Linked DNA regions of Stegostoma tigrinum. The protein of the gene in region 2 interacts with the protein of the main gene of each other region in a pairwise test. Links are inferred from orthologs where the notes say so. Each region holds a gene or a part of one and is shown on either strand. Other genes may lie near its edges. The genes, in order: slain1a, doublesex- and mab-3-related transcription factor 1Y-like and exosc1.

Region 1 (7,493 bases), on a different chromosome or scaffold from region 2:
ATTTTGTGCACTGCTAACTTACTGCAATTTGCTAATGAAGCCATACAAACCATCAGCAGGGCACACATATGCATTTCAACACCCTCTGAAGCCTTTTTCTCCAACAACTATCACTCATTCCATCCAGCACCAATATGATCTGTGAATAGCTTGTTGAGGCATCCATCAAAAGGTTGAACTATGGACGTTAAACTTCTTGGTAAAGCTGCATTACAGGTGCTATATTTTCATAGACGCCTGTGGAACTCGTTGGTTATAAAGGATCTGAGCACGACCAGTATTAATAAACTGCATTTTTTACATAGGCCATCCAGACTGCTATTCAACACACCATCAGTCCACAAATTCAGTTTATTCGATTCATCCAGCCATTGATATGAATGCACTCAAGAAGAAGAATGGTAGAATTTGAGTTTCTACAGGATTTACATTTGAAAATTATGATAGACATTATTCCGTTCACGGCCATTTCACCCATGTTGCTGATGTGACATGATGGGTACTTACTCTTCTGCTGTTTGATGAATCACCCTAACCGTCATTTTAACATTAGCGTCCTTTAGTAGTTTCTGAGCAATCTTGGACTTTAGTCAGATCACTATATTGGTTTGTTCCATATACCTGCTATATCATTAATTAGCTGAGATAAAAAAGTGCGCGGCTGGATGAACACAGCAGGCCAAGCAACATCTTAGAAGCACAAAAGCTGACGTTTCGGGCCTAGACCCTTTGGCCCGAAACATCAGCTTTTGTGCTCCTAAGATGCTGCTTGGCCTGCTGTGTTCATCCAGCCCCACACTTTGTTATCTTGGATTCTCCAGCATCTGCAGTTCCCATTATCTGAAATATCACTAAATAGCTGTTGGTCTGAACTTAACTATTCATTTGACCCACTTAAATGTTTATGTATACATCACAGTCCATATGAGGGTATAATCATTCCAATGATTTTCTAGCACTTGTTCTGATACATAGAGGTCAAATCATCGGCTTGTCCCAGCTCTTACAGTGCGTTTGGATGAGGTTTTTTTCTTCAGTGTGGATTTTTTTTTCCATACTCACTTTTTTTTCGCATGAAACAGCAAATTCTCTCTCTGCAAGGCAGTAAATTGTTGTGTTTGCAAACCATAGGATATTTCACTGGAAACTGGCTTTCAACTTAATTCATTTTCCACAGGGATCCTTTTCTGTTTGTCACTCATGTTGCCACGTGTGCTCTGGTCCATGTGAGCATATGTGAAACTCCCATTCACCTTCTTCATAACACTGCGTACTGCCTGATCCCATGCACTGACTTATGATAAAGGCACAGAAAACACATTTCTCTGGTCAAAAATTGAAGCTGACTATGAATATTAATAAAGCATGCAGGGGTGCCAAGAGGAATCACCCTAATTGCCAAGTATAGGCAATTCCAAGTTTTGGAACTGAAGAGAACATAAGAAATAAGAGCAAGATGCCATTTGGCATAGTAGGCTGTTACACTAATGAACAGAATCATAGATAATCTGCCAGTCTTTCATAGCCATTTTTTCTCTGTGCTAATTAAAAATTTGTCCAACTCAGCCTTTAATATATTCAATGACAGTCTCCACTGCTCACTGGGGAGAGAATTCTAACTGCCAATGGCCCTTCACAAAGCATAAAAAAACCTTCTGATATCTTTATTTTAACCTGTGTGACTCAGTTATGATTCTCCGCCAGAGTATACAGCCTCTCAGCATTTATGCTGTCAAACCCTTCTCATGATTGTACATGTTACAATAAGATTACCCTTCAGATTTTTAAAATTCTAATGGCTATAGGTGAAACCTGCTCAACATTTCTTCATACAACCATCCTTTCATTCCAGGGATCAGCTTAGTGAACCTTTTTTGAACTGCTTCCAACACAAGTAAATCCATAATCCACCACCATCCCCAACCCCGCCACCCCCGAGCTTTTGTAAACAAAACTGCATGCAGAACTTGAGGTGTGGTCTCTGTACAGTTGCAGCAAATAAGGACAGGACTTTGACATTCCATCTCGTTTGCAATAAAGGCTAATGTTCAGTTTGCTACTGTATTGCAGCTACTTACTGCATCATTTATATAAATGATTTGAATGCGAGCATAGGAGGGATGGTTATTATGTTTCTAGATGCATCAAAATTGGTGGCATAGTACCTAGTGAAGAAGACTATTTCAGAGTACAATGGGATCTTGATCAGATGAGCAAATGGGCCAAGGAGTGGTAGATGAAGTTTAATTTAGATAAATGTGTGGTCCTACATTTTGGAAAGGAAAATCAAGGCATGACTTATACACTTTATGGTAAGATCCTGTGGAATGTGGCCGACCAAAATGACCTTGGGGTGTAGATTCATAGTTCCTTGGAAGTGGAGTCACTGGTACATAGAAACATAGAAGATAGGAGCAGGAGGAAGACATTCTGCCCTTCAGGTCTGCTCTGCCATTCTTCACAATCATGGGTGATCGTCCAATTCAATAGCCTAATCCTGCTTTCTCCCTATAACCTTTGATCTTATTCGCCCCAAGTACTATATCTAGTCACCACTTGAATACATTCAATTTTTTGGCATCAACTACTTCCTGTTGTAATTAACTTCACAGGTTCACCACACTTTGGGCCCTGGTTCTGGACACACCCACCATTGGGAACATCTTCGCTGTATCTCCACTGTCTAGTCCTGTTAGAATTTTATAAGTCTCTGTGAGATTATTTTCTCAGTTGTCTGAACTCCGGTGAAAGCAACCCGAACCTAGTCAATCTCTCCTCACGTCAGACCTGCCGTCACTGGAATCAGCCTGGCAGGCAGAAGAGGCTCAGGTAGATAGGATAATGAAGAAGGTGTTTGGTATGTTTGCCTTTATTGGTCAGTGTATTGAGTTTAGGAGTTGGGAGGTTCTGTTACAGGTGTACATGGGACATTGGTTAGGGCAGTTTTGGAATACTGCATTCAATTCTGGTCTCCCTGCTAAAGGAAACCTGTTGTGAAACTTGAAAGGATTCAGAAAAGATTTGCCAGTGTTAGAGCTTTTGAGCTATAGGGAGAGGCTGAAAAGGTTGGGGCTATTTCCTCTAGAGCATCGGAGGCTGAGGGGTGACCTTATGGAGGTTTATAAAATCATTAGGGGCATGGATAGGGTGAGTAGCCAAAGCTTTTTCCCCAGGTTTGGGGAATCCAAAACTAGAGGGTATTGGTTTAAGGTGAGAGAGAAAGCTTTGAAAGGGACCTGAGGGGCAACTTTTTCGTGCAGAGGCTGGTGTGTGTATGGAATGAGCTGCCAGAGGAGGTGGTGGAGGCTGGTACAATTACAACATTTGAAAGGCACCTGGATGGGTTTAGAGGGATTTGGGCCAAATGCTGGCAAATGGGACTAGATCAGTTTCGGATATCTCATTGGCACAGATGAGTGCCACGGACTGAAGGGCTTGTTTCCATGCTGCATATTTCTATGAGACTATGAACTTGACTCTTTGTGATTCATACATAAGGCTAACCTATCCACATGTACAGCAGCATTCTGTAGTCTCTCTCCATTTAGAGAACGGTTTTATTGTACTCTTCCTAGCACACAGACTTACAACTTCACAGAAGGTACTCAGCCTACTAAACCATGGCCAACTCACTCAGTCTATGTGTACATGTGCTGGAATGCTTTACCTGCGTATCACGATGCATGATTTGCACGATCATATTTTGCGCTGAGTATATTTCCTATGTGCAACTTCACACCCAATTGACGCTGTCGAAATCACGGTGACAAGAACAGAAATGGATGGGAAGAGCTCAGCAGGTCTGCCAGCATCCGTGGAGAGATAGGAGAGTTAACGTTTCGAGTGCAGTGATCCTTTTTCAGAACAGCGAGCCTCACAGCAGGACGCATGTACTGTTGAAGCACACGCAGTTTTGCAACAATAAAACTGCAACAGATTATCGCATGTGACACCCACAAAAAAAACTGAATAAAGAACGATGCGGCAGTGATCCGGAGGCGGGGTGTTGGGGGAGTTCGTTGTGTCTCCGTTACCATTCAGGCGACGACACTCCTTTGATATGGGCGGCGCTTTCGTGAAATAACACCCCCACCCTCCCAAAAAAAATCTTGCAATAAGATCGATTGCGGACTGATAGGGGAGAACGGGGTAGAAGAAGGGTGTCGCCTGATAGCATTTTTAAAAAAAACACATACAGACGGAATACAGTGCTGGCTGGTGTGTGAGTGTTGGCAGAGATCGTAATGGAGAGGAGGGTTTTGCAGACCTGAGTCGCAATATGCGCCTGTTCTTTGTTGTGTAGGAGAGAGAGAGAGGCAGGGAACTGGGGGAGATCGAAAGGCAGCGGCTCCTGTTCGTCCCCATCGAAGCTTTAATCACAAGAAGAGGCTTTTATTTTGGGAGGAGGAGTGGGGGGGGGGGGGGTGGTGGTGGCGGGAAGGGATGGAGGCGCCTCTGCTGAAGGTGATGGGGGCTACAGCGGGGGATGTCAGCTCCAAGGTGAGTGCCGAGCTGGAGGTGAAGAAGCTGCAGGAGCTGGTGAGAAAACTCGAGTGGCAGAACGAGCAGCTGAAGAGCAGGGCCAGTGCCGCCGCCGCTACCTCCTCCTCCTCCTCTCCTACGGCTCTCCTGTACCCTCCCGGCAGCCCGGTTTACTGCCCTGCACCTCCCCCGGGCTCGGCAGCTTACCCTGGCGGTACCGGCAGCAGCAGTAACTACCCGCCCACCGCTCACTGCCGGCAGCCTCCCGGCACCAGCGAAGCTTCTCCCCGCTCACTGGGCTCCAGTGGCTCGGCCAGGCTGCTCCTCGACGAAGTGGACACCCTGGACCTAGACAACGGGGGCTGCAGCGGAAACGAGGACAACTGGTATCGTTCTATTTGTCTCTCCATTTTTACTGCCTTTGTCACCAGCTTGCAAAATATCCATTTTTATTATACACTGGTGGGCGAGCTCAGTGTCGTTTCCTCTTCTTTTCTTTACCTTTCCTCATCTTCTGTCCATCCTCGTCCTCCTCATTTTCTCCCCAGTCTTCCTCCTCCTCATCTTCTCTTCATCCTTCTCCCCATCATCATTTTCTCCCCAGGCGTCCTCCTCCTCCTCATCTCCCCATCCTCCTCATCCTCTTCAGTCCTCTTCCTCCTTATCTTCTCACCAGTCCTCCTCCTCCTCATCTCCTCCCCTGTCCTCTTCCTTCTCCTCATCTTCTTCTCCCCTGTCCTCCTCCTCATCATCTCCCCAGCCCTCTTCCTCCCTGTCCTCCTCCTCTTCCTCATCTTCTTCCCAGTCCTCCTTCTTCATCCTCATAATCTTCTCTTCTGTCTTCCTCCTCATCTTTTCCCCATTCTGCTCCTCATCTTCCCCCCAGTTGGCCAATGTATTCACACCCCCATCCTCACTCTCTCTGTCACTCCCATCCCCTTCCTCCCTCCCCCTAACTTCTCCTTACCATTCATTATATCTGTCAGCGTCATTTGACAAGAAGTTGCCATTTCTACTTTGTTAAATTGCGCAAGACTTCTCCTTATGTTTGTGTCACCAGTGCACACTGTGTACACCTCTTGTCTTTCACCACTTGCCTGTTATAATTTATAGGCATTGGCCAATTGACATGAGACTCTGTTTAATAATAAAGCAGTTTCACCCTGCCATAGATTTAGGTTGGCTGGTCTAAAGTGTATTTTTCTGATCTTTCAATACTGCTTGATTGTTAATCTGAAAAGGTCAGTAACCATAGTGAAAATCAAATTTGTTATTTACGAGTTTAGCTTTTACATTAAAAATTTAAATATAACCTAAAATTATTGTGTGTGGGCAGTGGTTTGCTAGTCATTGTATTTGAAAATAGTATTTTAACAGTTCCTGTGAGTTACAAGCCTACAGGGACAGATTTTAAGGTTGACTAGAGAATGCTAGAAATAGTGGAAAGTGAGAATATAGGAATCCTTTAATGAGCTCTCGGCCCTCAATTCCAGTGATCAAAAATAACTGATGTTGCATACTTATCTGGAAGATTCTAAACCATTCTCGTATTTTGCGCTGTATTTGAGTTCTGAGGAAGGGCCACTGGACCCGAAATGTTAACTTTGTTTTTTCCTTCACAGATGCTGCCAGACCTGCTGGGCTTTTCCAGCAACTTTGTTTTGTTCCTGTATTTTGCATTAGTTTGCTTTGTCGACACCTGTATTGTTTTGACTTGCTTTTTTTCCCCAAAGACACAATAGTGACTACACTCAGTTGCTTCAGTGTCATCAAACATTAACATAAATGCCCTATAGCATCATCAATATAATAAGCATGCAAAGTTGTTGAAATATCATGAGCGGAATCTCATAGTGGCCTGAATGACATGGGTTATGTTCAGATTTATGACCGGATTGTGTGAGAAGTCTGCTGAGGCCCAACTTGATGTTGGGAGCAACTCATTGTATCTGTTGAGTGGGGAAGAGAGTGTCTGCAAAGGCAGTGGCAAGCGGCAAATTAGGGCAGTTTGAAGCTTGTAAAGTACCTTATTAATAGCAGAAATGGTTTCATTAATATTCTACCTTACAAAGCACAATGAAGACAGCAACTTAAGCTCAGTGTTTGTTCCAGAGGACGTCTGTACCACCAACACAGTGCACACTCCATGGGCACTGGACACATGTACCCCACATCTAAGTACGTTGACAGTTAACATGCCCAGTTTCTGAGAAGCTTCATTGGACTTCCTCGATCCACAATTGCTTCTGCACTTAATGCTGCATCTTGAGTGGCACCAGCAGCTATTATTGTAATGGTGTGCTCAGGGACACACAACTATTTTGTGGACTGGACCAGGCTGTATCTCTGGCCTGTCCCCTTACTTGTCATAGCACTCCTTCACTCTGTGACTACCTGGATGCTCATAACATCCCTGCCTTGCCTTAGTATACTTTGCCCCCTCAGCTAGAGATACCAGGCTCACAGTAATGTGTATTGTCTTGCCTTTTAGCACAGCCATAAAGCCAGGAAGCTTGTCTTGCTTGTCAGCAGCCCTCAGTAAAGTGAAGGGGGATAGCCTTTGCTCAAGGCTGTCTTGACCCAAATCCCTCCAAGTGTTTATTTTTCACATACTTATCTAAATGTCTTCTAAAAGTTGTAACTTACCCGCATCCACCAATTCCTCTGTAAGTTCATTCCGCACATGAAGCTACACTGTGCGTTAAAAAATTGCCTCTCATGTCTTTTTTAAAGTCTTTCTACTGTCACCTTAAAATTATGCCCACTAGTCTTGAAATCACCCACCCTAGGAAAAAGACACTTGTCATTTACCTTATCTCTACCCCTCATGATTTTATAAATCTTTTAAAAGTCACCCTCAACCTCCTACGTGAAAAAAAGGTCCCAGTCTATCCAGCCTCTCCGTATAACTCTAACCCTCCATTCCCAACAACATTCTGGTAACTCTCTTGTGAATCCTCTCCAACTTAATAGTATCCTTTCCGTAACAGGGCAACCAGAACTGGACACAG
Region 2 (7,055 bases):
AAGAAGGGTCTAGGCCTGAAACTTCAGCTTTCCTGCTACAATGATGCTGCTTGGCCTGCTGTGTTCATCCAGCTCCACACCTTGTTATCTAGGCAAAGTGAGTATTTCTTTTTCAGTTTGAGCATATTGGCTCTATTTTTTTGAAATGTGAAGCCCCTCAAGGAGAAATTGCATTAATTAGGCACTTACACAGTACAGTTTAAAGACATTTGTAATTATAAAATCATAGTTCCACTTGCAGGATACAAACCCTGGCCACAAGCAATTTGGACCATATTGTGGATTATTATATCATAGTCATTTCTATGAAAGAGAAATAATCACACATGACCTGCAGACCACAAAGCACAAAGACAGTCTATGGTCTCAAAGGCACAGAGCTGATTTCTTCTCACTTTGAAGCAAGTGTTTGCCAACAACAACTTACATGCAATGCTGCCTTCCTTAGGTGATGTGGGGTTGGTTCCTGTTGCATACATCAGAATAAGGTCCACTATGTCAAAGGTCTACGTCAAGGCATTTCATGGTCCTCATTGTCAGAATCCACCACATCCCACTGTAAGGAGAACTGTACTAAATTGTCATTATATGTGATGCAAATGCTGACTGCTCACACAGTTCTGTTCTGTTTCTGATATTCCCCAAAGAGGTTCATGGAACCAAGACCAATGGATCCAACCACAGCAGCACAACCAGTACTGCAATTGTAATGCAACAAAGGTGCAGAAAATCAAGGAGAAAAAAATGTGCCAGTAAGCAATCTCCAGCTCCAGTCAAATATTCTCTTTTTGAAGAAGTCACCACTGAAGTTCCCCTCAAGATGCAGAGAAAGGAGGATGTTTTGTGTCTATTGTCCTCAATGTTATTTTCTCTAAATGAGCAGAGTGCACTGCCACCTCTACCTGTGGGCATGCCAGAACACTGTTCTAGGGCACTGAACTGTACCATCTGCTGAAGCAGAACTTGCAACCTGAAGGGATGGATGACCATCGTATCCCAGTGGCCAACAAGGGAACATTAAACATTTATGCACCTAGCAGCTTCCAAGAATCGACAATATGATATCTCTCAATTTCTCAACCCCAAATGTATCAAGGTTGTTACTGATGCAATTTCTTCCAGATCACACATTTCATCTCATTTCCCGTGACAAGATCAATGCTGTAGCCCAGGTGGTAGGCATCGCCAATGTAGCTGGCTTTCGTCAGGTGCATGGCACTATAAACTGTAAACATATTATGCTGAGAGCATCATTATCATAACATGACTGACTTCATCAACAAAAAAGTGTTCTGCTGTACCACTTCTTTGAATTCTGTACTAGGTACCCTGGGAGCTGTCATGATGCCTCTATCTTTGAGAACTTCATGTTTTCACTTCATTTTAAGGGCTGGATACCTTCCAAGGCTGCTACTGAGAGACAAAGGCTAACCCCTACAACCACGGCTAGTGACTCCATTCTGCATCTCCCTGGCTGAGGTCAAATATTGATACAGTGCAACCTATTCTTCCACCAGGGCCATTATGGAGCAGATGACAGGCTACCCAAAAATGAAGCTCCATTGTTTGGATTGGTATAGGGGGCCTTGCAGTTCGTTCCAGACAGACCATGCATATAATCCAAGCATATGCTCTGCACAACGGGAGAAGATGAAAGAGGGGATGTGAGGGGATGTTGAAGAGTTTGGAGTGGGGAATCAGTCTACTGAGGAGGAGGAGATGAGGACATTGAGCAGGTGAAATATCATCTTCAGTGTGATAAAGCAAAGTGGCGTTGGGTACGATAAGTTAGACAAGCCTTAATTGACACCTGCCTTCCAAGAGATGTGAGCTGAGCGATCACTCATTGACTGAAAATTTGCTGTTGCTCAAACTAAGTCACACCCTGTTTGTTCCCAGGAATAAATGCACCTTTTTTCTTTGTTTACTTTTCGTGTTATTCAATAAACATGAATGACTTAAACAGTTTGAAGGCTTTCCAACATGTGAAGCTCCCACATTGAACCATAGAAAAATGCTCTGCTACATTGGGTATTAAGGATAGAGTAGCACTCTGATTCTAGCGTGGCATAGTGCTAAGAATGAGGTAACCTGTGTAGCTTGATTCTTGTAATTGTAGTTACGATCACATCTGATCAGACAGTTAATGATGTAAAATAGTAAAAGTGTTTGCTTCCACTCACAATGAAGTGTTACCATGGCACCTATGTGCCCTCAGAATATTTTCTTTCTCATTTCCTTTCCAATTACAGTGCAGTGAAGGGGTATTTGTGGCTGGCAGTGATTGTCCCGGTAAACAGCTCGTCTCTAAATAGGGCACCGCAGACGGAAATCTTGGCAGTGGAGAGTATTTCCGCCAATGGTGAGCAAGAGTAATGAAAACACAGCACCACAGCATCACGCAGCATCCATACTGAAGTGGGCAGTAGAAAATTGCATGAGATAACTTGCTACAGCTCACGAAGGGAAGCCCTTCATGAAAGTCCTCAAAATTGATCCTTAACTGATTTTTAGTAAAATTGAGCCTGTTGTTTTGAAGTGAGCACTCCCTTTCTGTAATGCAGCTAAACAACCACAAGAGGACAGCACTAACCTTGAAGAAAAATACATTAATCTACTCAGGAAAAAAACACAGGAAACGTGTTAAAATTATAATATGAAACCTGCGTAAAATAAACGATAAAACTGAAAACAATCAATTTAATTCACACCCGATTACACCCTACTCTTTAGCCTTTCTTATCTTGGCTTTTGACTCATTGCGGTTCTCACAGCTTTTGCATTCCATAAACTACAACTTATCCACAACACTGCAGTCCCCATCCTTTCTCACATTTCTATCACCATTATTCCTGTTAATATCCACTGTCTTCTTGCGCAATAAGCTAATAGGATTGTGTTTTATATCCAAATCCCTCTCACGCCACTCGCTCCTGCCCTAAGCTAAAATTTACCTTTCACTGGACTATGATCCACTGAATGAAGCCTGGCTGTTTCTCTCATTGCCATCCCTTGACTGGGATCCTGTCGTGCCTCTACGTCTTCTTAGCCCAGTGTTAAAGCTGAGAACTCTTTTTGTACAGCACAGTGGAAAGCCTTTTGACCCATTATGCCTGAGTCAGCTCTTTGAAAGAATCGTCATTTATTCCTACTCCCTTACTCCTATTGCTCTGTATTTCTTTTTCATTTCATTTATAGAGTTTATACATCCAATTCCCCCTTTTACAGTTACGATTAAAGCAATTGGCAATCATGCGTAAATCAATGGAATCATCCTTCCCTTTCATTTGATTGGACTATGAAGAAGGGAGGTAGCAGATATTTCATCCTGATTTCACTATATGCCATTACATTAAAAAGGTTGGAAACTTGTGGAGCTGAACCTTTGACGATGACATGTCTAAGTTCACTGAACCCTCTCTTAGAAACACTTCGGGGATGCCGCCCACTTTGAATCTGCACTTAGTGAGATACCAAGCAAGTGAACAGAAACAGTCAGATTCTGTCTCACTTGTGCAGCGATGTTGGCATTTCAGCATTCCTCAGTGTCCGGCATAGTTATAGTTAAGTTGGCATGACTTCCGTTCATGAAAGAACTAAATATGTACAGTTGCTTTGCAAAGATTGAGCTGAATTCAGTGATTCCACACTCAAAGTGCAGTTGTCTCAGTTAAAGGGAGTAGGAGTCAAGTCATCAGTGCTGCACTGTATTATGCTTCCATGAAGCAACACCCCTCACTAGCGGTTTCGGTTAAAGTGAACTTACCTTGGAAAATGTATTTAAAACTGTACGTGGCTGCTTCAATGCTGAATAACCAGCAGGGGGAGATGTGTGCAAACAAGATTATTTCTGGATGATCAGTTACAAGACGTTCTTGGCAATGAGTCACAGAACTACCCTCGAGGAAAATGTGTATAGCTAAATTTGAAGCATACAAAAATAATCATTTGGACTGAATGCATTTTGCAAAGCTTTCTCTTTCTCCTAAATCTTCTCCTATTTCTCTCCTCCTCCACAGGAGTTGCATCCCCCAAATATCTCTTATCGGGTAAATAAAATTGAAAGAATTGCAGATGATGTAAATCAGGAACAAAAACAGAAGTTGCTGGAAAAGCTCAGCAGGTCTGGCAGCATCTGTGTAGAAAAAAAATCAGAGTTAAAATTCTGGGTCTGGTGACTGTTCCTCAGAACCGATGAAAATGTTGGTTTATGTGCAGAAGATAGGGAGGGGGGAGGGTGTAGGGAGTAAACAGGATAAAGGGTAGAGCCCAGTAGAGAGCAGAGTAGTTGGATAGACAAAACCGTTGATAACAATCTTGCGAAGAGGGTCAACAGCTGTTAACGGAGACTGTTAGTGCCTAACAATAGATAGTGTGTAATGGCTAGCTATGTGATAACAAGGCCTCAAAATGTGAGGCTGGATGAACACAGCAGGCCAAGCAGCATCTCAGGAGCACAAAAGCTGACGTTTCGGGCCTAGACCCTTCATCATGATGAAGACCCTCTCTGATGAAGGGTCTAGGCCCGAAACGTCAGCTTTTGTGCTCCTGAGATGCTGCTTGGCCTGCTGTGTTCATCCAGCGTCACATTTTATTATCACAGAATGGTTACAAGTGACTATACTTTTATCACTGTTTCAAAACATATTCCACTCTAAATCTTGCTGCAGAGCAGAAAAAAAAGGCAGAAATTTTATAAACTTTGGAGACATGCTTTGAGCATTAAGTGAATGTTACAGAAAAACAACACATATTTAAAATGAGGGAATAATGTACAAACAGATCATTGATTAATATGTACCATCATTAACTCAGCTTGCAGAAACCTATGAATAGTTGCAAAATAAAGATGATCCCCTTAAACAGGATTGTATTAGTCATAAGAGATGCAGAAGTGAAAACACACCAACTGAGACAAGAGAAACTTACATTCCAGAGAGAATTGACAAGTGCAGACGTGCTGAGGCTGTGAATTTGTAGCTTGAGGATATTAATGGCAAAACAAACTAGGTTTCCAGCATTGCACTGATAGATACTCTAGGTAGACAGGACAGAACAATTACAGAAAAATTGCAGTTTGAAAGTACCAGAGAGGACATAATGCAAAGAAGAAGAGGCATGGCCATTGTGGAGAAAGCTGTGTTTTCACTGCAAGAAGCCGAATCATTGTAAACACATGTATGGCTAAAAAGAAGCAAGTGCAGAAGGCCATTGGAGATATGTCAGCTGAAGGTTCTGATGAATCACTCTACATCAGTCAGTAGGTTGATTTAGTCAAGTTATTGAGTGATACATGCTTTGTGACTATGGGAATGAAGACTGCACAAGGAAAACATCAAGTCAACATGAAGTATCAGATAGATATTGGTGCATCATGACCTCATTGACCTGTAGGAAGTGGTTAAATGCGGTGATCCAAAAATTAAGGAAACCCTCAAAATAAGGTTAAGGCTATATCATGGCACCATCATCTTGCCAAGAGGACAGGTTACTTTGTGAATGGTTGCAACAAAATGATCGAGGATCTTGAGTTCCGGATCATAGATAGATAGCATATGACACTTATTTCAACAAGGCAAATTTAAAGCTTGGAGTGATAAGCCTCAATGTACCAAAGACATTTGTCACACGTCACAGTACACTAAACCATTGATGTAGAAGAAATGGCAGAGGAGTACATTGATGTATTTGCAAGGCAAGGCTGTCTTCCAGGAGAATATCACCTTGAAGCAGATGAGAACGGAAAACCAATTCCCGCAAAGCCAGGCTGAAACACAAGAGGGAGGAGCCCGGAAAAAGGGAGTAATCAAGAATCTGACAGCTCCTACAGTGTGGATTGCTGCATTTTGGCAGTGAAACAACCTGGAAAATTGAGAGTATGAATCAACCCAAAGGATTGAAATAGAGCCCTGAAGTGATATCACAACCCATGCTACAGTCAAAGGGATTTTGCCACAACATGCAAATGTGAAAATCTTCATCACCCAAGAAGCAAAGGTTCATGACTGGCAAGTGAAGCTCAATGAAAGGAGCAGTTTTCTAACCGCGTTCGTGATGCCCTTTGAGAGTTACAGTTGGCTACACATACCCTTTACTAAATACCATTACCAAAAGGATATTAAACATAGAACATAGATCAGTACAGCACAGGAATGGGACCTTTGGCTCACGATGTTGTACCAAACATGACGCCAAATTAAACTAATCCCTTCTGCCTGCCATTGATCCATATCCCTCCATTTCCTGCATATTCATGTGCTTATCGGAAAGTCTCTTAACTGTCCCTATCCTTTCTACTTCCACCACTACCCCAGCAGTGTGTTCCATGCTCCTACCACTCTGTGTAAAAAACTTGCCCCTCTCATCTCCTTTAAACTTTTCCCCTCTCACCTTAAACGCATTCCTCAATTTTAAACATTTCAACACTGGGAGAATGGTTCTGACTGTCATTCCTCAGCATCTGCCACTCCAGAGAAAACAACCCAAGTTTTTCTTGCCTCACCTTATAGTTCATTCCCTCCAATCTAGGCAGCATCCTGTAAACCTCTTTTGCACCCTGTCCAAAGCCTCCACACCCTTCCTATAATGTGGCAACCAGAATTGAATGCAGTGTGGCCTAGTGTGGCCTAACCAAAATCTTATAAAGCTGCAACATGAGATCCTGACTTTTGTACTCAATTCTCTGACCAATAAAGGCAAGTATACAATATGCCTTCTTTACCACGCTATCTACTTGCATTACCACTTTCAGGGAGCTATGGACTTGAACCCCAAGATCCCTCTGTACATCAATACTGTTCAGACTTCTGCCATTAACTGTATACTTTGCCTTAACATTTGATCTCCGAAAGTGCAGCACCTCACACTTACCTGGATAAAACTCCATCTACCATTTCTGCACCCATATCTGCAACTGATCTATATCCTGCTGTATCCTTTGACAATCTTCCACACTATCTACAACTCCATGGTCTTTGTAATATCTACAAACTTACTAACCCATTCATCTGCATTTTCACCTAAGTCATTTATGTATATCACAAATAGCAGAGGTT
Region 3 (7,522 bases), on a different chromosome or scaffold from region 2:
GATTTATTGTCACATGTAACTTGTTACAAAAATACATTGAAAAGTGGCACCACTCTCTGGGAGCATCTTAAAACAAATAAAAAACCAAACCATAGAATATAAAGGCAGAAAAATGAGAACAAAAAGTGTCTAACTTACAAGGAGATAGCAAGAACTGCAGATGCTGGAGTCAAAGGCAACACAGTGTGGAGTTGGAGGAACACAGCAGGCCAGGGAGCAACGGGGAGCAGGAAAGGTGACATTTTGGGTCAGAACCTTTCTTCAGAAAACTCTCCTTTGAGCTGCTTGACCTGCTGTGTTCCTCCAGCTCCACACTATATTGTCTAATTTATAGTCCTTCTTGTTAAGTGCTTTAACATGGGCCATGGGCCTGGTGACCAGGCACCTCCTTCACCGTGCTGCCACTGCTGCACCAAACGACGCCACTCTTTGGCACCATTTCACCTCCAGCAATGGCACTGCCAAGATGAATCCTAACTGGGCCTTGCCAATAAGGATGCCACCAATGCCTCCCTTTATGCATTGACCTGAACTTGACTCAGCTGCCACCTTGAGTCTGCGTCGACCCACCTCAACATGCAGCTGCTGCCGTCAGGTCTCATGCTGGGCCCAATTCACCTCTGCCGCAGCAGTCATGAATCAGCACTAGGAGCGCCTCCACAATGCACAAGATGCGGGAACACAAACTCGCCTCCAACATTGCTGCCATCAGTCCATACTGCTGGGCCAACCCGTCAGCAATGCTGTTACTGAGCCCAAGCTCTTCAGCAAAAGGGAAATAAGATAAAACTAAAGAGTAAAAAAGAAACAAAAGAGAGAGAAAGAAGACAAAAAAAATGGGAAAGCAGACGGTGTGGATGAACCCTGGGCTCAGAAGCCCTTCTCTTGCATAATCTTACTGGAAGACACAATAATAGGATTCTTACGTAGCTTGACATGGTAAATGCCAACTGGATGTTTTCCCTCATGAGTCTAGGATGAGAAAGCATAGTCACAGGATAAAGAGGCACCAATTTAAGACTGAGACAAGGAGAAATTTCTTTTAGTAGAGGGTTGAGTGTCTTTGGAATTCCCTGCCATAAACAGCTGTGGGGGCAGAGTCCTAGTCACAGTCATGCAGCATGGCAAGAGACCCTTCAGTCTAACCAGTCCACATTGACCATGTTCCCAAACTAAACTAGACCCACCTGCATGTACTTGGCCCTTAACTCTCTGAACTTTTCTTAATCTTATCCAAATGTCTTTTCAATGTTGTAACTATATCTGCAGGTCTAGGCCCAAAATGTCAGCTTTTGTGCTCCTAAGATGCTGCTTGGCCTGCTGTGTTCATCCAGCCCCAAATTTTGTTATCTTACATCCTCTGGCACTTCATTTCACACACAAACAACTCTGTGAATTAAGCTGCCCCTCACGTTCTTTTTAAAACTTTCTCCTCTCACCTCAAAAATATGCTCCCTAATTTTAAAATCCTCCACACTAGGGAAAACAACTTTGCTATTCACCTTACCTTTGTCCCTTAACTATCCTGTATACCTGTGATGCAAATTTCAAAGAATTATATACCTGAATCCCAAGGTCTCCTTGTTCTACAGCACTACCCAGGAGCCCTACCATTAATTGAATAAGTCTTGCCCTTGTTTGTTTTACTAAAATGCAATACCTTGCAGTTATCCAAATTAAACTACATCTGTCACTCCTCAGCCCATTGGCCCAATTGATCAAGATCTCTTTGTAATCTTAGATAACCTTTTCCTCTGTCCATTATGCCACTAATTTTGGTGCCATCCACTAACTTACTAACCATGCCTCCTATATTCTCACCCAAATCATTTATACAAATGTCAAACAAAAGTGGACCCAGTACCAATCCCTGTCGAACCCGTGATCACAAGCATCCAGACCAAAAAAACAACCCTCCACACCACTGTCCATTTCCTACGTTCAATTTTGTATCCAATTGGCAAGTACACCCTGAATTCCATGTGATTCAACTTTACTGATTAGTTTACCATGTGGAATCATATCAAAGGCCTTACTAAAGTCAAAGTAAACAATGTCTACTGCTCTTCCTTGATTAATCTTTCTGATTACTTCCTCAAAAAAAATCAAGTTTGTGAGATGTGATTTCCCTTGCACAAAGCTATGCTCACTCTTCCTGATCATTCACTACCTCTGCAAATGCATGTAAATCCTACTTTTCAGAATCACCTCTAACAACTTACTGGTCTCAAACACGGGTCTATAATTTCCTGGCTTTTCCTTGCAGCCTTTCTTAAATAACGGCAAAACGTTAACCTCCCCCCACTCCTCAGGCACCTCACCTGTGGTTATACATGAGACAAATATTTCTGCTAGGGAGCCCACAATTTCCTCCTCAACTTCCTACAACGTTCTGGGATACGCTTGATCAGATCCCGAAGGCTTATCCACATTTACGTTTTCTAGGACCTACAGCACTTCCTCATCTGTAATGTGAACTGTTTTCAAAAGATCAACATTTATTTCCCTGAGTTCACTAACGTCCATTTCTCAATCCACAGTAAAAACGGTGTATATTTAAGGTTGAGACAGATAGACTTTTGATTAGTAGGGAAAGGATCATTATGGGAATAGAGCAGGCAAGTAGACAGGAGGTGTGTGGGATCAGCCACGATCCTTACGAACGGCGAAGCAAGCTCGAGAGGTCGAAAGGCCTACTCTGTTCCTACTTCTTACACATCCCATCCCTGCTCCGCTCTTGAAGTCTGCCGGTACCTGGGATGCAGAGCTTCAGCGGCGCCATCACAGCTTCACAGAACCGGGGAGAACACGCTGTCGCAGACCCTCGTAGTAAGGGGCGAACGGATTGGCTCGCGCGGACACTGGTAGTAAAGGACGAGCGGATTGGCTGAGGTTGGTTGCTAGGGCCGGGACGGATTCGCGACATCAAATCTCTTCGCCTCATGGCTCTCTCCGGCTTTTATCCTGTTCTCTCTGGGCTTGGTTCAGGATCTCCTCCATACTCCCGTCCCTAACCCGGGTCGGGATCCTGCCCTCGGGTCTTCAATCTCGTCTCCCTGAATTCCCCGGCCCCGAGGCCTTCCCTCCTCATCCCCCCCGTCACAACCCTCCAGTACTGACCTCTCTGTCTCTCCCTGGCTGCTCCTCGTCTGAGAGAAAACAACGAAACTCTCAGCTGACTATGATGTTCATCTCCATTTGTGTCTATTGCTTTATTTGTCAAAGTTTAATACAGTTCACATTGGTCCCCGTACTGTTTCATTTCCATCCAGCACCAGATAAAACAGTGTGGGCTGGCGGGACGTAAACCTCTGAGCAATATCATAGGAAAGTCCTGAGGTTAATATTGTTGAGTAGCTGAAAATTCATTTCAATTCGAGTTTGAAAAAAATGTATCTAAACTAGCACAGGGAAAGTAAGAATTAACAGGCGCTGGAGAGGGGATTTATGATTAAGGGCAAAGAATTGTTTTTTGTTTACTCATCTCTATTTTAAAGTCAATAGTATCAAAGTAAAGTTAAAAGAAGGAAACTAAAGTTTTAGCAAGTAAAATTTCTTAAAAGTATAGGTTAAGATTATGGCAGGACAGATCAGCCAAGTGGAATATGCATGCTGTTGCATGTGTGGACATTCTAAATGACCTTGATGAGCCCATGTGGAGGAAGTGGGGCCACTGCAAGCTTGAGCTCCAGGTTTCAGTGCTCGCAGTGGCTATGGCAGTCTTAGGGAGACAGGCAAAAAGATCCCAAGATCTGCAGATGCTGGTGTCAGAGTCAACACAGTATGGAACTGGAGGCCCACGACATGTCAGGTAGCACCAGAGGAGTAGGAAAGTCGACATTTTGGGTTGGGACCCTTCTTCAGAGCAGTTCCGAAGAAGGATCCTGACTGCTTGAAGGGTTTACGCAGGGGAGTGGGAACCAGCAGAGAACGTTAGAAGGAAATGGCAGAGTACAAAAAGATGCTGGGGGAGGCAGATTGTGTGAGAATAGAAGTAATATGTGGAGTCAACATAATGGAGATGGTAGTGAACCGTAAATTAGGGTTGCTCTGCATGTACGTGCATGGACTGAGTATGGTGAATAAGATTGGGAAGTTACAGGCACATATTTCCATGGTAGATTGTGAAAGTAAAATATTGGAGATCTGGCTCAAGGAAACATAGAAGATAGGAAAAGGAGGAACCCATTCAGCCCTTCGAGCTTGCTCTGCCATCCATCACGATCATGGTTGATCATTCAACTGATCGCCTAATCCTGCTTTCTCTCCATAACCTATGATCCCATTCGCCCCAAGTGCTATATTTACCTGCCTCTTGAATACCTTAAATATTTTAGCATTGGCTATTTCCTGTGGTAATGAATTCCACACGCTCACCACTCTTTGGGTGTAGAAATGTCTCCTCATCTCTGTCCTCAATGGTCTACCTCAAATCAAGACTGTAACCCCTGGATCTGGACACACCCACCATCAGGAGCATTGTCCCTGCTTCTACCCTGTCAAGTCCTGTTAGAATTTTATTAGTCTCTATTGAGATCCCTCTTCATTCATCTGAACTCCAGTGAAAATAATCATAACTTAGTCAATCTCTCCTCATATATCAGACCCAACATCCCCAGAATCAGCTTGGTAAACCTTTGCTGTATTCCTCGAGAGCGAGAGCATCCTTCCTCAGAATCGGCGACCAAAACTGCACACAATATTCTAGTTGTGGCCTCACCAAGGCCCAGTATAACTGCAACAACACATCCCTGCTCCTGTACTTGAAACCTCTTTCAACGAAGGCCAACTTCCCATTTGCCTTCTTTACAATCTGCTGCACTTGCATGCTTGTCTTCAGTGACAAGATGCACAAGGACACCCAGGTCCTGCTGCACACTCCCCTCTCAATTTTCAGCCATTTAGGTAGTAATCTGCCTTCTTGTTTTTACATCCAAAGTGAACAACCTCACATTTATTCAAATTATTCTGCATTTTCCATTCATTTGCCCACTCACCGAACTTGTCCAGATCATGCTGGAGGATCTCTGCATCCTCCTCACAGTTCACCCTCCCACCCAACTTGGTATCGTCTGCAAACTTGGAGATATTACATTTTGTTCCTTTATCCAAATCATTAATATATATTGTGAATAGCTGGGATCCCAGCACTAATCCCTGCAACACCCAGCTAGTTACTGCCTGCCAACCTATCTTCTCCTCTATCCATCTTCAATCGCCTCCCCCTCTCTCCCCATTTATTTCAGAACCCTCTCCCCATCCCCTTTTCTGATGAAGGGTCTAGGCCCGAAACGTAAAAGCTTTTGTGCTCCTAAGATGCTGCTTGGCATACTGTGTTCATCCAGCTCCACACTTTGTTCTCTCAGATCCTCCAGCATCTGCAGTTCCCATTATCTCATTAATTCCTACTGTTTGTTTCCTCTCTGTCAACCTGTTTTCTATCCATCTTAATACACTTCTGCCAATCCCGTGCACATTAATCTTAAACATACAACATTGACTGCCCCCCACCTTGTCAACCCTACTAGTTACATCTTCATAGAATTTCAACAGATTTGCATGACTTCCCTTTCATAAATCTATACTGACTCTGTCCAATTCTGCTACTGCTTTCTAAATGCTCTGCTATAAAGTCCTTAATAATGGATTTGAGAATTTTCCCCACTATAGATGTTAGGCTTCCTGATCTATAATTTCCTGTTTTCTTCTCTACCTCCCTTTTTGATTACTGGAGTGACCTATGGCTCCCCTGCAATCTGCAGGGACTGTTCCAGAGTTTGAAGAATCCTGGAAGATGCCATCAATGCATCCATTATTTCTAGAAAGGGATGGTCTGGGTGCTAAATGTTCTTGGTTACAAGGTATACAAAAAGATTGAAAATATTTAAAAATAAGGGAATATGGAGTCTTTTTCTTAAGGAGAGTCTTGCAATATAGGAGAAGGAGGACATTTCAGAATGTTCAGGGATGGAATTGATTCAGGTGGAACTAAAGAATAAGAAGAGTGCAGTTACGTTGCCCGCTGTGAGCCGTAGACCACTAACTAGTGGGAAGGATCTAGAGTCATAGAGATATACAGCACTGAAGCAGGCCCTGCGGTCCTACTCATCCATGCTGACAAGATATCCTAAATATATCTAGTCTCATTTGCCAGCATTTGGCTCACATCCCTGTAAACCCTTCCAATTCATATACCCATCCAGATAGATTTAAATGTGGTAATTGTACCACTTCCTCTGGCAGCTCATTCCATACATGCAGTACCCTCTGCATAAAAAAGTTTCCCATGAGGTCCCTTTTAAATCTTTCCCCTCTCACCTTAAAGCTATGCCCTCTAGTTTTGGACTCCTCCCACCCCAAGGAAAAGACCTTGTCTATTTACCCTGTCCATTGCCCTCATGATTTTATAAATCTCCATAAGGCCACACCTCAGCCTCCAATGCTCCAGAGGAAAAAGCCCCTGTCCATTCAGCTCTCCCTACAGCTCAAACTCTCCAACCCTGGCAAATGGCTTAAAAATCTCGAGAGAGAAAAATCTGCAAGGACATTGCAGAAATGTATAAGCATAGTTGAATAGCCATTATGGGGGACTTTAATTACCTTTAATGGTTGGACTAGAAACATAGAAAGTAGGAGCAGGAGTAGGCCATTCGAGCCCTTGAGCTTGCTCCACCATTCATCAAGCTCAATACCCTATTCTTCCTGTCTCCTGATATCACTTGATTTCTTCAGCCACAAAAATTCTATCTATCTCCTTGAAATGTTTTCCTCAATCACCTTCTGGGGGTAGTGAAATCCACAGGTGCCTTTCTCTTTGGGTGAAGAAATTTCTCTTTATTTCAGTCCTAAAAGTGTTACACCTTATTCCTAAATGATGACCCCTAGTTATGGACCCCCTACCATCAGGAACATCCTGCATTAAACCCAACTAATTCCATTAGAATTTTATAGGTGTGTATGAGAAATCCCCTCATTGTTCTCAACCAAAGTGAATACGACCTAACTGATTTAATCTCTCCACATGCATCACCTTGCCATCCAAGGAATCAGTTTGGTAAACCATTCCTGCTCCCTCTATAGCATGAACATTCTTCCTCAGAAAAGAAGACCAAAACTGAACACAATATTCCAGGTATGGACTCACCAATGCCCTGTATAATTGCAGCAAGATATTCTTGTTCCTGTATTTGAATTCTCTCATTGTGAAGGCCAAATATATTTTGTCTTCTTTCCTGCGCTTGCACACTTACTTAGGCAACTGGTACACAAAGATATACAGATTTCGTTGAATATTTCCCTCTCTCAATTTACAGCCATTCAAGTAATAATGTGCTTTTATATACTTACTGCCAAAGTAGGTAGCCTCACATTTACCCACACTATGTTGCATTTGCCCAGTCACTCAGCCTTTCAAAATCATACTGCAACATTTTTGCATCCTCCTCGTGGGTCACATTTTCACCCAGTTATGTGTCACCTATACATTTTGAGATTTTACATTTAATTGCCTCATCTAAATTAT

The links.
Region 1: the proteins of doublesex- and mab-3-related transcription factor 1Y-like (region 2) and slain1a interact in a two-hybrid assay, tested with the Homo sapiens proteins (2 studies listed by BioGRID). The link is inferred for Stegostoma tigrinum from reciprocal best matches to the Homo sapiens genes DMRTB1 and SLAIN1.
Region 3: the proteins of doublesex- and mab-3-related transcription factor 1Y-like (region 2) and exosc1 interact in a two-hybrid assay, tested with the Homo sapiens proteins (2 studies listed by BioGRID). The link is inferred for Stegostoma tigrinum from reciprocal best matches to the Homo sapiens genes DMRTB1 and EXOSC1.

Annotation. Positions count from the first base shown.
Region 1 is NC_081359.1:28,293,860-28,301,352, forward strand, and holds the start of slain1a (SLAIN motif-containing protein 1a), read left to right. Parts: upstream 1-4,443; coding exon 4,444-4,868; intron 4,869-7,493. UniProt on the Homo sapiens protein: Microtubule plus-end tracking protein that might be involved in the regulation of cytoplasmic microtubule dynamics, microtubule organization and microtubule elongation.
Region 2 is NC_081361.1:42,266,054-42,273,108, forward strand, and holds the start of doublesex- and mab-3-related transcription factor 1Y-like, read right to left. Parts: upstream 3,067-7,055; 5' UTR 2,955-3,066; intron 1-2,954.
Region 3 is NC_081373.1:12,450,485-12,458,006, forward strand, and holds the start of exosc1 (exosome complex component CSL4), read right to left. Parts: upstream 3,020-7,522; 5' UTR 2,945-3,019; coding exon 2,755-2,944; intron 1-2,754. UniProt on the Homo sapiens protein: Non-catalytic component of the RNA exosome complex which has 3'->5' exoribonuclease activity and participates in a multitude of cellular RNA processing and degradation events.